Medicago truncatula: one gene and its partner. Each later gene encodes a partner of the first gene's protein in a complex. Links are inferred from orthologs where the notes say so. Each region holds a gene or a part of one and is shown on either strand. Other genes may lie near its edges.

Region 1 (7,001 bases):
ACAATCCAAATCTTATTCCTTCCTTTTACCTCGAAAATGCATGTCTGAGGATAAGATATTCACTACTGTTTTCTATCTCTAGTAAGAAAGAATTGCCTCATTAACAAGATTACTTATTCCCATTGCTAACCTTATTGATAATGACCACTAAGCTCGAATACCCATTAGTACATCCCAAAAAAGTCTTTGGCTATTATCATGTTTTGTTTAACCTTATATTCCAACGACTTACCTTCATTTTCCATTTATCGGTAGGTTGCCGAAAATTTTAGTGAATTAAGATCTTTCAATATTCACATTATCAATTTCAACTCTTGTTCCTTCATTGATAACATCGATAAATGATTGTTAGATCTTGTTGTGCTTAAGTCAATCTAACTTGGCTAACCAAGTTCTAACAACCACACTATAATTCTATTTAAAAAGCAAGATCTCTCCACAAAGAAGATTTAGATATTTAGCAAGCAAGATCTTTCCATAAACAAGATTTAGCCTATAAACTACGTCCATCTGATTCATACAACGATATGGTAGTTCGGAAAGTGGCATTCTCATAGAATGCGTTGATTTCCCACAATGGCTCACGTTGTTTGAAGGAAGAGATGCTAAGATCTCATGACTTGGAAAACATGAAAAGAAATCGACAAAATTATCCTGATTCTAAGTAAGGTTGATTGAAATGGTAAGATATTTCTTTCAGTTTAACAACCGATCTTTGATTCGATTTTAATACTTAAAATGTAGTAGTCTTCAATCACTTTTAGAGAGAGTTTTGTACCCGATTTGAGATATAAATATATGTAGCTGTGCGCAGATTTGACACTTGGTTCATAAAAAAAAGTCACGCTAACTGTATCCATGTAACACTTATTAAGAAAAAAAAAGAGTAAATTTTGTATCTTTCCTAAACAATATTAGTAGTCACGATATTGTCATGATGTTGTGGTGTTTGTGGCGACGATGCAACAACAAAGTGTGGGTGGGTGAACTTAATCCTATTACCGAGGTCGTCCAGCTTGCATGAGATGCTCTTATTCAATGGCAGTCAGTTCGCGTTATGAAAAATATGTAATGATGGAAAGTGCATCCGAATCATCGAAGTTCATTGTTATAATAAAAAACAATCCAAATCTTATTAAGTGTAATGTTGACAAAGCTTTTTTTGCTGATCAACGGTGCTTCGGTATTAGTATGTGAATTGGAATTCTCGAGGCCATTTTATTAAAGCTTTAACGAAATGGTAGGATGGTTTCCTCCCCGATAAAAGCAGAGGCATTAGACTGTGTGGTGCCATCTTTTAGCTTGATCAATTGGGACTATCAAATATGCAAATTGAGCTAGATTGTAAGTAAGTGGTAGACATCATTGCTGATAGACTAATAATCAATCTGAATTTGTTAATAGGGTTAATGGTGTTTTACCCCCCTGTAATATAAGTCATTTTTGGTTTTCCCTCCTGTAAAATATTTTTTTTGGTTTACCCCCTGTAAATTTTATTTTTTTTTGGAATACCCCCTAATAGGTCATAAAAAAACGAAAAAATTATGCAAAAAAAAAATAAAGTCGTTTTTTTATGACCTATTAGGGAGGTATTCCAATTTTTTTTTTTTTACAGGGGTGTAATATTACAAGGGGATAAAACACCATTAACCCTTGTTAATATTACGTTTTGATGTAGATCACTATTACGATATTTTCCAAATGTTAAGACAAGTTTTATTAAAAAAAAAACAAGTAAATTGTATTGCCCAAGTGTAAAGAAGGTGTCAAAATTGTATACCTGTCACCATATCTTTAATTTGAGTCTATCATATATTAAATTTAGGAAAATGTTAACCAATGTTCTTAAATATTAGTTAAGAATATAAAATTAAAAAGATTGTGAAAAAGTGAATATTCAACTTTTTGAAAATAAAAAAAAAGTTGTTGTTTCCAATAAAAAAATTCTATAATTAACTTCCTTAATTAGTGTCATAAGGTCACTGGTTAATAAGACTCTTACATTTATTATGTCGTCGATAGTTTAACTAATGTGCCAAAATTATAGTATGAGTTAATTTTTTGGTATGAGTTATTGTGGGTAAAAGAAAAAAAGCAAAACAATATGAATAATCATGGAAGGAGTGGTGGTCAAAGGCAGAGTCACGTATTGTTCCTATCCTGACCTGTCTCAATTTGAATTAAAAATTAAAAATAATGTTACTTGACTGTCTAAACTAGATAATGATATTATTTCTATCTTCAATATAATAGATTGACACGCCATCTCCATCTCCACATCACAGTGAGAGTGAGCGTTATCAGTGACTCGATATCAATAATTATGTATGTACTCAGCTCAAACAAATACAAGCATAACCTAACAAAGGGCCCTATTTCCAGATTGATTGGTCTTGTGCCTTTAAATTAATTTTGTATCTAAAACAATTTGTACCTTTCAATTTTACGGTCAAATTCAGGTTAATTATATAATTCCTATCCCAAATATTCCCGAATCAGTTTAAGTGAACATCTGAGTCATTAAGCTCAGTTTAGTGAAAGTGCCAAAGTGACAAAAGAATTATTATATTAATATAATATAATTAATTAAACTAATATAAGACCTAAGGTTTATTTTCATTTTTACTCCACCCAACTCACTTAAATATTAAGGATTATGTAAGTGGGACGTGACTCCCTTAAAATAAAAAATGTCATTAAAAAACTCAGAGTTGATACATGTAATCAATGAGGTGTAAGATATAAAAAGCAACCAATAATTATCATCTTTTAGAATAACAAATATTTTTTAGCATAATTGCTTTATCAAAATCAATAATCATGAATAGTTTATTACATACAAGTAGCATGATGAAATCAATTCTATGTGCTGCGCAAAACACTCTCCGGCTCATATTAGTGTAGCACACCCTTGTGGCCCATAGTAAAAACCGGATAAGAATGTGTTTCCATAATGAAATTACAAATTTGGATAAGTATACCGAATAGTATGGAGCACGTAACCATTCACGTTGACCACTGTAGTAAAATCAAACACAACATGTTACATCATCATAACCGTACACGCTTCCTTAATATAACCAAAATATGAAAATCAAAGGTGAATAATTCAGGTGTAGTGTAGGACACTAGTTTCAAATGTTTTAGTAGATTTTAGATCCCATTTTTCAGTTTATTATTATGGAACAATGTGTTGGGAGTAGTAAAGAGAAAAAGACAAAAACATAGAGATCTTATAATATTGTCATCATCATCAATTCATCATGCAGTTACACAGAGAGAGAAAAGAAGAGGGAGTAATGGCAATGGCTACAATGAGAGAGATGCCAAGGAGCCCTGAAGCCAAACTTGGGATGAGAGTTGAAGATCTATGGGATGTTCAAGAGGCACAATTAAGTCCTAATGACAAACTTAATGCTTGTTTTGAAAGCATACCTGTTTCTGCTTTTCCTTTGCCTGCTAAAAACCAAGGTAGTTTAGTGTCTATGTATGTATGTGTCTGATTTTGATTGAATAAAAGAAAAAGTGATTTTGATCACACCCAGATGAAAATTTATGTGCATGTTTGGTATCACGATAGTATATCAGAATCATGGTGGTTCACCGTGATTCTGACAAACCAACCAACTATGGTACCAAACATGCATGTGTGACCAATTGATGTGTTATTGTGTGTGTGTGTTATAATTTTTTTGTGGTGTGTTTTTATTGGGTTTGTTCTAAAAGTGTGAATTTTATGTTTGCTTGTATAGAAATTGAAATAAAATCAGATGCTACCTTGGCTGAAGCTGTGAAAATACTAGCACGTCACAATATTCTGAGTGCACCTGTTGTGGATGTTGATGCACCTGAAGATGCTACTTGGATTGATAGATACATCGGAATAGTTGAGTTTGCTGGAATTGTTGTATGGATTTTGCATCAGGTTAGATACATATGTCACTTGTCAATTCAATTATTTCACTTTCAGAATAAAAATGAGGAAAAGATCAAAAGACATATGAATCTAAAATTTACAATCAATTTTTGTACTTATATTTACAGTGTTTTCATATCTAAAAATGATATGATACCTGTTCTATTTAAGTGATTTTCTTAGATGCTTCAATTTCACACTAAGCTAATGTGATAATGTTGTTGACAGTCTGAGCCTCCATCCCCCAGGAGTCCATCCACTCCAACTAGCGCAAGTGCTATTGCAGCCGCAGCAAACGGAAATACTTTTGCCCGAGAACTCGAAGCCTTAGGCCTCGGATCTGCAGCGACAACTTCTGGAAACTTTTTTGAGGATCTTACTTCTTCTGAACTTTATAAGAACACGAAGGTTGTTTTGCGATGTCTAAATTTCTTTCAAGTGATTCTTCTTCCAGCTACTAATGAGTTTGTATTTAGTTATTTAAGTAGCTAACTTTTTCGCAAACAGGTTCAAGATATTTCAGGAACATTTCGATGGGCTCCGTTTCTTGCTTTGGAGAGATCAAACTCATTTCTAACCATGCTCTTGTTGCTTTCTAAGTACAAAATGAAGAGTGTTCCTGTGGTAGACTTGGGTTCTGGTACAATTGATAACATCATCACACAACCCGCCGTGATTCATATGTTGGCAGAATGTGCCGGACTTCAATGGTTCGAAAGTTGGGGAACCAAGGAACTATCTGATGTTGGTCTTCCCCTTGTGACACCAAAACAGATCATCAAGGTGTGTACTATATCATATAAGCTCTCATTGCATTGAACCTTGTCAAGTATGAATTCTGCATAACTCTAGTGCATACAGAGTAAAATGCTATCTTGCATTTCTTAAATGTGTGTGCATATATGGAAAATGCTTCAAAATAGTTATTTCATTTCCCCTTTCAAGTAAAGTAAACTTGTCGATCTTGATGAACTTGACAATGGATCGTTTCATTCTTTTCAGGTTTATGAGGATGAACCAGTCCTTCAAGCATTTAAAGAGATGAGGAAAAAGAGGGTTGGAGGGGTGCCTGTAATCAAAAGAGGTGGCACCACGGCAGTTGGTAATATAAGCTTGCGAGATGTTCAATTCTTGCTAACTGCTCCAGAAATCTATCATGATTATAGGTATGTCAGAGGTTTTAAATTGTGATTCGCAGTTGCGCCACAGTCCTTGATATTGCTGAGAAATGTTGTCAAATATGGCTGATGCGACCTCAATCACGGTCAGAGACATCAAAAACCTTGTGTCACGACCTGAACTGTGGACGCGGACCTTTTATTAAAACTGTGTTTAGACCGCATTGCTGATATCTTCTATCTTTCTTTCTTTAGTTGTTCTATCTGTTTCATTACTACATACTCATTGGATGTTCACATTTTGACAGAACTATTACAGTGAAGGACTTCCTGACCTCCGTTAGAAGCTACTTAGAGAAGAATAAAAACGCATTCCCAATGTCAAGTGAATTCATTACATGCAAAAGGGACTGTACAGTGAAAGAGTTGATTCAATTGCTTGACAAAGAGCAAATTCACAGGGTCTATGTTGTGGATGATGATGGGAACCTTGAAGGACTAATCACACTAAGAGATATCATCTCAAGGCTAGTACATGAACCCCACGGCTATTTTGGTGATTTCTTTGATGGTGTTCTCCCTCTACCTGCTAACAGCAGGGTTTAACAGACAAGGCATCAAGAAAGAATAACTTGCTCTTGCAGAGATTTTTTGTTTTTGTTTTTGTTTTTGAAATAATTCTTCAGAGGAAAAGTAAAAAATATGTATTTATCTTCAGGTTGAAGATGTGTACCTAGGTCTTTGTAATGTGTAGGCAGTTTGCAAGTTACTTGCACCTGTTTTAACTAATTTTAGAATGGGACTTTTATGTACTGTAAATTCTGGTGTAACCGTAAGTTCTGTCAAATTTTGGGTTGTTTTCGTTGTCTTCGATTCGTGTTTCTGTTCACCTTATTATGACTAGAGCGACACGTGTCTATCCACATTTTTCTTTTGTATTTTGTTTTTTTATGTATTATAAAATATGTTTACTTCAGTTTAATAAATTTATGTGTTTTTCACTTTAAAATATTCAACATAGTTAATTTTCAGATTTTCTATAATTTTGACATACTATTAAGATTTAAATTTGCAGAGAATTTAATTTATTAAGGTAATTTTGTCCAGCAAAATTCCGACCAAAAGTTACTCCCTCCGGTCCTATTTATAAGAGAATTTTAGGTCAACAAAAGTTGATGTATCTAGTTAAAAATTCAGTCCAAATACATTCACTTTTGTTGACCTAAATTTCTCTTATATATAGGACCGGAGGTAGTATTAGTTAACTTTCGAGTTCCTTTTATATACTACTAACGGAAAATGCTCACAAGTAATGGTATAAATTTTGAAATAGTACCTGGTGCATGAAAAGGCTTAAGTTGAATGGTAGTCTTTGTTGGTGGCTATGGAAACAGACAAAAGATAATATCCCAAGTCCCAACACGACAAAAAAGAGACCCATTATTCTCGGGGGTCGGCTTGGAACGTATCCCAATTGGAACTTGTGTTTTGCACTTGTTAGTTTGACGTAGGAAGTTGACAAAAACAAAGAAAATGAAAAGGTTGAAAACAAAGGGAAAATATAGGAAAACTACACTAGCGTACGGCGTACTCACATTGAAAACCAGTTACTTAGCGTGCTTAGCCAAAAGTGAAGTTTCATCACATGCTCAAATAAAGCAACTCTTCCAGTTTAGGCTGGCCAAGCCTAAAGTGTAAAGATGTTCAAGAGACAATTAGCATTTCTGTTTTGGTCATTTATGGACAGTGTAAGTGCAAAGTAATACCTGAATCAAAATATCTGTTGCCAGCAAACATGATAAGAATTTCAATAATTAAAAATCGAGTCAAATCGAAATGGAAGACTTTCATTCCAATTCACTAATGTTGTATGAACAATACCCAAAAATCATATAAATAATAACAAATAACATTTACAATTGATATAGTTTCAGCATGTGTCTGTCTGATCACCGATCATGGTTTCT
Region 2 (7,001 bases), on another chromosome or scaffold:
GACATGCAGTAATGTAAACTTTGGGGAGCAAAACCGGATATTGGGTTGCACCGGAAATTTACTTTCAGGGCAGTGATTTTGGCCACGGCATAACAAAACTCTCTTCTTTCTTTCCTAACCATCCAAATTTTAATTTACTCTTAATATTTCCAACAGATTGTGTTGATTGTGCAGTTACAACCTCTATAGATTATTTTACTACATGTTTCGGTGTTGTGGTTATAGCCTGTGCTGCAACCTCCGAAATAACTTTGCTAAAAATCTTGTTTATGACAAATATGAGTTGAATCTAAACTAACAACTTGGTGAAAGCTCTTGTGAGTAGATTTAATTTTCCCTTATAGAATGGACATCCGTTCATACACAACAACAATTATATACTTCTCTTTTTCTAAAAAAAACACAATTCAACCGAGCTCGACTTATCAAATTTTGGGATCCAAAATATTTTTTTTTATATGTATAATACATGGCAAAATCCAACATATACTAATAAGGTGCAAATATAGAACCATAAAGATGGCCTGGTGGTAAACATATGTGTTGGCAACTAAGTTGTACCGGTTCAATGCGGCATTGAACCCAGTCCTTTATCATATTAATGTTTGGGTCTTTTCAAAGAATTTTACTATATATACCTCCCATAACTCAAATATTTCTATATACACCCCATCTTAAAAAAAAATGGGCCCCTACCGGCATGGGCCCTAGGCCGTCGCACTCGCGGCCTATGCCCTAGCGTCAGCCGTGCAATGCCTAAGAAGAGCCATATAACCTTTTTTTTCCTTTAATTAAGTTTTTTAGCATGATAAGCCTCAATATGAGTCAAATTTATCATGAATTTGAGGTCTATATATCTTCAATACTCTCTTCTTTTTTAAATTCAGTTCAACTCTCATCAATCTATTGGACTATGTATTTTTAAATAATAACATAATATAACTTTTAATTTTTTCTTATCTTTTTTTAGTCAAATTTATTATGGACTTCAGGTCTATATATCTTCAATACTCTCGTTCCCTTAAATTCGGTCCAACTCTCCTCAACCTATTGGTCTATGTATTTTTAAATAAAAGTACTATAACTTTTTTTCTTATATTTTAGGCAAAATTACACAATTCGTCCCTTAACTTAATTTCAGGTAATATTTTCATCCTTTATCTTATATATTTTTTCCGATTTTAATCTTTTATGTTACAATCAGGTAGCGCTTTAGTCAATTATCTTTTTCTTTATTCAACTTAATCATTTATATTACTCCCTCCGTCCCATAATAAATGAGTCATTTGCAACAAAAAAAAAATATTATCCCAAAAAATTGACTCATTTTACTTTTCAATAAAATAGTAATTACTTTTTTCAATTATAACTCTGATCAATTCTAATTTCATCACTCTCAATTCAATATATGCTACTTTGCATGTATGATAAGGAAGAATGCACGAATATTTGACAAAACACTCAAAACTATTTTTCTCTCTTTTTCACTTATAGATTTTTTCTTAGAGAAATGTTAACTTGTGCCCTAATGACATAGGATAAGAAATCAAAAGTAGAAATTAAATCTTAAAAATTGTGTATTTTTAATTTTGAAAGCTTTAAATTTTATCTTTATTTTTTGGTAGATAGACGAAATTGCAAAGCCATCATAAACACACAAACACAAAGTGGAGGTACCGGGGTTCGAACCCCGGTCATGACGTCCACTCTAATTATTTCGGTATTTTTGCCAATTGAGCTAGGACTTATGGGACTTTAATTTTATATTTTTAACTTGTGCATTTACCTTCTTAACTTGTACTCTTAGAGGACAAGTTAGCATGAACATTTTTTTTTTTTAATATGTGTGAAATTAACAAAAGACTCACTTAAGATGTGACGGAGAGAGTATAATCAGGTTAAAATGTTTTTATATATTTTGGTATATAAAAAAAAAATATAGTGTTAACATGTGCTTTTTGGGCACATGTTAAGAAACACAAAAGAAGAAATATTGTATAAAATTTTGTGCATTTAATTCATTAAAAAGTTAAAAATTAAATACAATACACACATTTCAATAAATAATTTTTATATTTGAATCATGAACTTGTGCCTTAACGCACAAGTTAGCATTAAAAAAAGGCTTAATTGTATTTTTGGACCCCTATCTTTTCAAAAGTTGCGGTTATGGACCCCTAACTAATTTAAATACAAAACAGCCCCCTATGTTTTGATTCTTTGACAGTTTTGGCCCCCAAGGCAAAAAAAAAAATAAAAAAAATGACACGTGGCACCTCACTTAGGGTGTCACGTCAGCGTTGATCGAGTCAACAATGGACTGGGGGTTCAAAACTGTCAAAGAATCAAAACATAGTGGGTTATTTTGTATTTAAATTAGTTAGGGGTCCATAATCGCAACTTATAGGATCCAAAAGTGCAATTAAGCTTTAAAAAAAATGTTATTATATTCGGGTAGTAACATGACATCTGTCTTTGTTGGAAAAAGGTTCGTAAGTTGTAACAGCCACATTTGAGTCTTTGACGACCTTTAAAAGCCAACTTTGCGTTGCGTGCTCTGCTTGTCTTCTTCTTCTTCACAGAATACGATGCACTCTTAGTTAGGGTTCGTTTTCTTCGTAAATGTTTTTTTTTTTTTTTTGCTTCATTGCTTCAAAATCAACGCTTCATAATCACTTTTTCTTTCCATTTGCAGCTCAGCACTTTCCATCGTCGATCACTTTCTCCCTTCTGTGTTTTGGTTCGGTCACTATCGAAATCTTAAGCAAGATAACTCAAGTCAAGGTAAGTTTTTTTTCTTCATTTTTGTGTTGAATTGTTATTAATCGGTTAGAAATTGTGTTTTATGTTATTGCATTTTGTTTATACCTGCATGCCCCCAAATTCAGTGTAAAAGGGTTTTGGGATTTATTGGTTTTAGTTTTTGTTTCTGCTTAGGAGCAATTTCAATTGGTATGTGTAGTTTGTTTTTGAGGTTCTTGTTATGTGGGTGTTGTCATTGTATTTCATTTGATGAGGGATTGTGTATGTTTGGTATGTGCCTTTGATTTGTGTTTGTGAATGCAACTCAAACAATTATCTAGGTTAACTTGTCCTAGGAAGATTTGCATATACTATCTCCGGTCTTAAATATAAAAGAAAGTTGAATCAACAAAAATCGATGTATCTAGTCCAAATTTGAACCAGATACAACAATTTTTGTTGACTCAACGTAGTTTTTTAGCTGGATTTTTATGGTAGCATTATTTATCAGTTTGACTTGAGTTTCAATAATAATGGCCCGTGAGAAAAATTGAATGTTGAGACCAGGGGGCAATGTAGTCAGGTTCAAGTTTTTAAGTGGAATCGGTAGGCTCGTAAAAGATCGTAAACACGAGGGTCATAGCACGGTCCGTAAGTAGGATTGGTAGGTTTTTGATAGAGTTGAGAGAAAAAACGGAAAATAGAGGAAAAACAGAGGAAACAAGCAAAAAAACAGAAAATAGAGTAAAAACAGAGGCAGCAGAGAAAAAACAGAGCAAACAGATGAAAACAAAAGAAAAATTAACCCGAGTAAAGTCGAAGCACGATTGAGGTGCCGTAACCAGCACTCGATCCTGACTACAATGCCAGGGGTGGATTTAGGTACCACTGGGCCAGCATTGTATTTCAATCTTATTCTTGTTGTAGGTTTGCTGTTGTGAGAAAATTGAGTCATTTGATGGATCTATGTTGTTTGACCGCTGTAGTCAGTTTGACGGTTGGTTTGTAGAAGAGTAGTCCATAGTGTAGTCTCATCAAAATTGCCGTGAAGTTATACTCTGATTAACTATAAAACATTGAGATTCTTGACATTGGTCGTTTTTTGATCCATCCGTGTCTACTTTCCTTCATGGTTCATGTTTTTCTTCGTGATATCTTGGTTATCGGATCTTACAGGACATAGTATAAGATTCATAATATAGGTTGTGTCATATCACATGCCATTATTCTTCCGAATCTTTCATCCTATATTTTGTGATTATCATGAATTTTATCAAGATTCTTGAGATTTCTCCTGTTTTAATGCAAGATCTTTATTCTCCTTCTATCTGTTTGGTAATCTGATACAAAACTTGCAAATTATTTATATTTCCAACTGCACAGATTTTTTATAACGAAGATGTATGTAGAAGTTTGGCAGTTTAATCATTGTACTGTGTTATTACCATATAAGCATTAAGCATTCAATTCAAATATTAAAAATATTGAAATTTGTTGAGGATCACATTTGGTGAAATGCTAACTTGTGATTTGTTTTGTACATTGAAGGATATGTTATCCTCTGTTGAGTTCTAACAGTGAGTGACTGATTATATAGCTACTTTGACTTCCACTTTACATGTATTATTAGGTTCTGAAAATGGTGGCCGTTGTATGAAGAATTATGAATATGTGATTTTATGTTTTAAAGATTAGAGTATTACCAGTAAATATCCTTTGAACATTTATAATCTTATAACTTTGTTCATTACTAAGATATCACACCCCTTCTTCCAAAATAAAAGATATCACCCATTACTTTAATGTGTAATCTATGCCTTGGATTTGTGTTTGTGAATGCAATTGAAGAAATTATGTAGGTTAAGTTGGCCTAGGAGGATTTGCATATACTACCTCTGGTCTAAAATATAAGGGAAAGTTGATGTATCTGGTCCAAATTTTGAACCTGATACATCAACTTTTGTTGACACAACCCAACTTTCTCTTATACTCCCTCTTGTCCTTTTTATAAGAGACATACGATTCAATAAAAGTCGATGTATTTGGTCCATATTATGAACCAAATACATCAACTTTTGTTGACCTACAAGTCTCTTATAAGAAGGACCAGAGGCAGTATTTAGGACATGATGGAGTAGTTTTTTAGCTGGATTTTTATGGTAGTATCATTTAGCAGTTTGACTCGAGTTTCACTCATAACAGCCATAAAAATTGAATTTTGAGACCAGGGGAGATTTAGGTACCACTGGGCCAATGTTGTATTTTAATTGCTGAATAGGCCCTCCGAGTTGCTCAACCTATCAGAACATATCTTCCAATAGGCTTGTTTTTTTGCTCATAGAAATGATCGGAAGTTATCTTCCGATGTGTGTTTTGAGGGGATTTTGCAGCAATGCAAGGGGGCCTGTAAAGCAATTATCTTCAACCATATTCTTATTGTAGGTTTCCTGTTGTGAGAAAATTGAATCTTTTGATGGGTCTATGTTGTTGGACGGCTATAGTCAGTTTTAGAGTGTGTTTGAAGGTAGTCCACAGTGTAATCTCGCCAAAATTGATGTGAAATTATAATCTGATTTTACTATAAAGACTTTAAATTCATGATATTGCTCGTTTGTTGAACCTTCCGTGTCTATTTTCTTTATGATATTGTGGCTACTGGTCATAGAAGACATGATATTAAGATTCTTAGTATAAGTTGTTTCACATCACATACCACCGTTTCGTCGAAATCTGTAATTTGTTATTATTATGAATCTTATCAAGATTCTTGAGATTTCTCCTGTTTTAATGTTAGATATTTATTCTCTTTCTATTAGTTTGGTAATCTGATGCAAAACTTGCAAGTTATTTATATCTTCAACTGCTCAGATTTGTAATACTAATAACAAAGATGCATGTCGAAGCTTGGGAGTTTGATCAATATACCATGTTATTACTGTATTAGCATTCAATACAACTTGTTTAAAATATTGAAATTTGTTGTGGATCATGTTCAGTGAAATGCTAACTTGTGATTTGTTTTGTGCACTGAAGGATATGTTATCCACTGTTGAGTCGTAGTTGTAATTGTGAGTGCCTGCCTGTGTTATATTATATAGCTACTTTGAGTTCCTCTTTGCATGTATTAGGCTCTGAAAATGATGGCAGATGTAATTTTGTATGAAGAATTATGATTATGAATCTGTTGTTTTATGTTTTAAAAGATTAGAGTGCTGCCTGTAAATATCCTTTGAACATTTATAATCTCGTAACTTTTATTACAAAGATATCATCCCTTACTTTTAAGTTGTTACCAGATTTTTCCTTTTTATGAATAAATTCGTGTTCCCATTACTTTGCTTTGTTGTGTAGTTTTTAATCAGATTAGGTGTACATAAGTTGATAGTATTAGTAATTTGTTGTCTCTTTAGATTAACCAATTGGAGTGTATCCGTTGTATAATAGATTTTTGTGTATTATTTGTTGATTATGCTAAATTGAAGTATCTTTCTTCAGGTTTCTTGGAATCTTAATTGGACTCATTGATGAATTCACAACTAGTGGTTGACTTGAATAGCAAGATGAATAATCCATATGCTGCAAACCCGGTAAGTAATTCATGTAATGAATAATAACATCTATTACTTGTCATTAGTAAAGCCTAAATTTACAATCTACACGCAGGGTGAAGCAACTGTCATGGGATTTGAAATTTTAAAAACATCTGACTCCGGTTACAATAATGCATACCCTTTGAATGAAGACGAGGCACGTGATCCACCTGAGATTCCTCCACAATTGCAAAACACCTTGGTCGGCTATCCTGCTAATGTCGATAGTTTTAGTTCTCTTCCATTGCCTCAGAACGCAATTCTAAATCATCTTTATATTGAGAATAGAGAGCCACAAAGATCTGTGGTGGCTTTGGGATACACTCATCGCTTTCGTACCAAATTTGTTACAGCAGTGCTCTACAAACCAGTTCAAAGAAGGGGAGCCACAAACATTTGATGTGCTGACTATAAACCTTCTCGAAAGACCAGTTTAAAGAAGTGGACCAAAATCATTTGATGTGCATATCATGAACTTTTCATTGTTGTTCATTTGTAATGATTTAATGTGTAGACTTGATGTTTAAATTAGCAGGAAGTGATATTTATTGGACTTATAAGGCTTCAGTAATTTTTTTCCTTGCATATAAGGCTTTAAAAAATAAATAGAAACTTCAAACCATCTACACCAAAACAAAAAATTAAGATGATTTCTCAATCTGTCCTCTA

Evidence for each region.
Region 2: SNF1-related protein kinase regulatory subunit gamma-1 (region 1) and SNF1-related protein kinase regulatory subunit beta-3 share a complex: the UniProt entries of both Arabidopsis thaliana proteins name them as parts of the probable heterotrimeric complex. The link is inferred for Medicago truncatula from reciprocal best matches to the Arabidopsis thaliana genes KING1 and AT2G28060.

Annotation. Positions count from the first base shown.
Region 1 is NC_053045.1:50,747,940-50,754,940, reverse strand, and holds SNF1-related protein kinase regulatory subunit gamma-1, read left to right. Parts: upstream 1-3,263; coding exon 3,264-3,471; intron 3,472-3,752; coding exon 3,753-3,925; intron 3,926-4,144; coding exon 4,145-4,324; intron 4,325-4,423; coding exon 4,424-4,699; intron 4,700-4,918; coding exon 4,919-5,082; intron 5,083-5,342; coding exon 5,343-5,640; 3' UTR 5,641-5,972; downstream 5,973-7,001. UniProt on the Arabidopsis thaliana protein: Regulatory subunit of the probable trimeric SNF1-related protein kinase (SnRK) complex, which may play a role in a signal transduction cascade regulating gene expression and carbohydrate metabolism in higher plants.
Region 2 is NC_053043.1:46,814,921-46,821,921, forward strand, and holds SNF1-related protein kinase regulatory subunit beta-3, read left to right. Parts: upstream 1-2,469; 5' UTR 2,470-2,605; intron 2,606-2,695; 5' UTR 2,696-2,784; intron 2,785-6,237; 5' UTR 6,238-6,266; coding exon 6,267-6,329; intron 6,330-6,405; coding exon 6,406-6,732; 3' UTR 6,733-6,903; downstream 6,904-7,001. UniProt on the Arabidopsis thaliana protein: Regulatory subunit of the probable trimeric SNF1-related protein kinase (SnRK) complex, which may play a role in a signal transduction cascade regulating gene expression and carbohydrate metabolism in higher plants.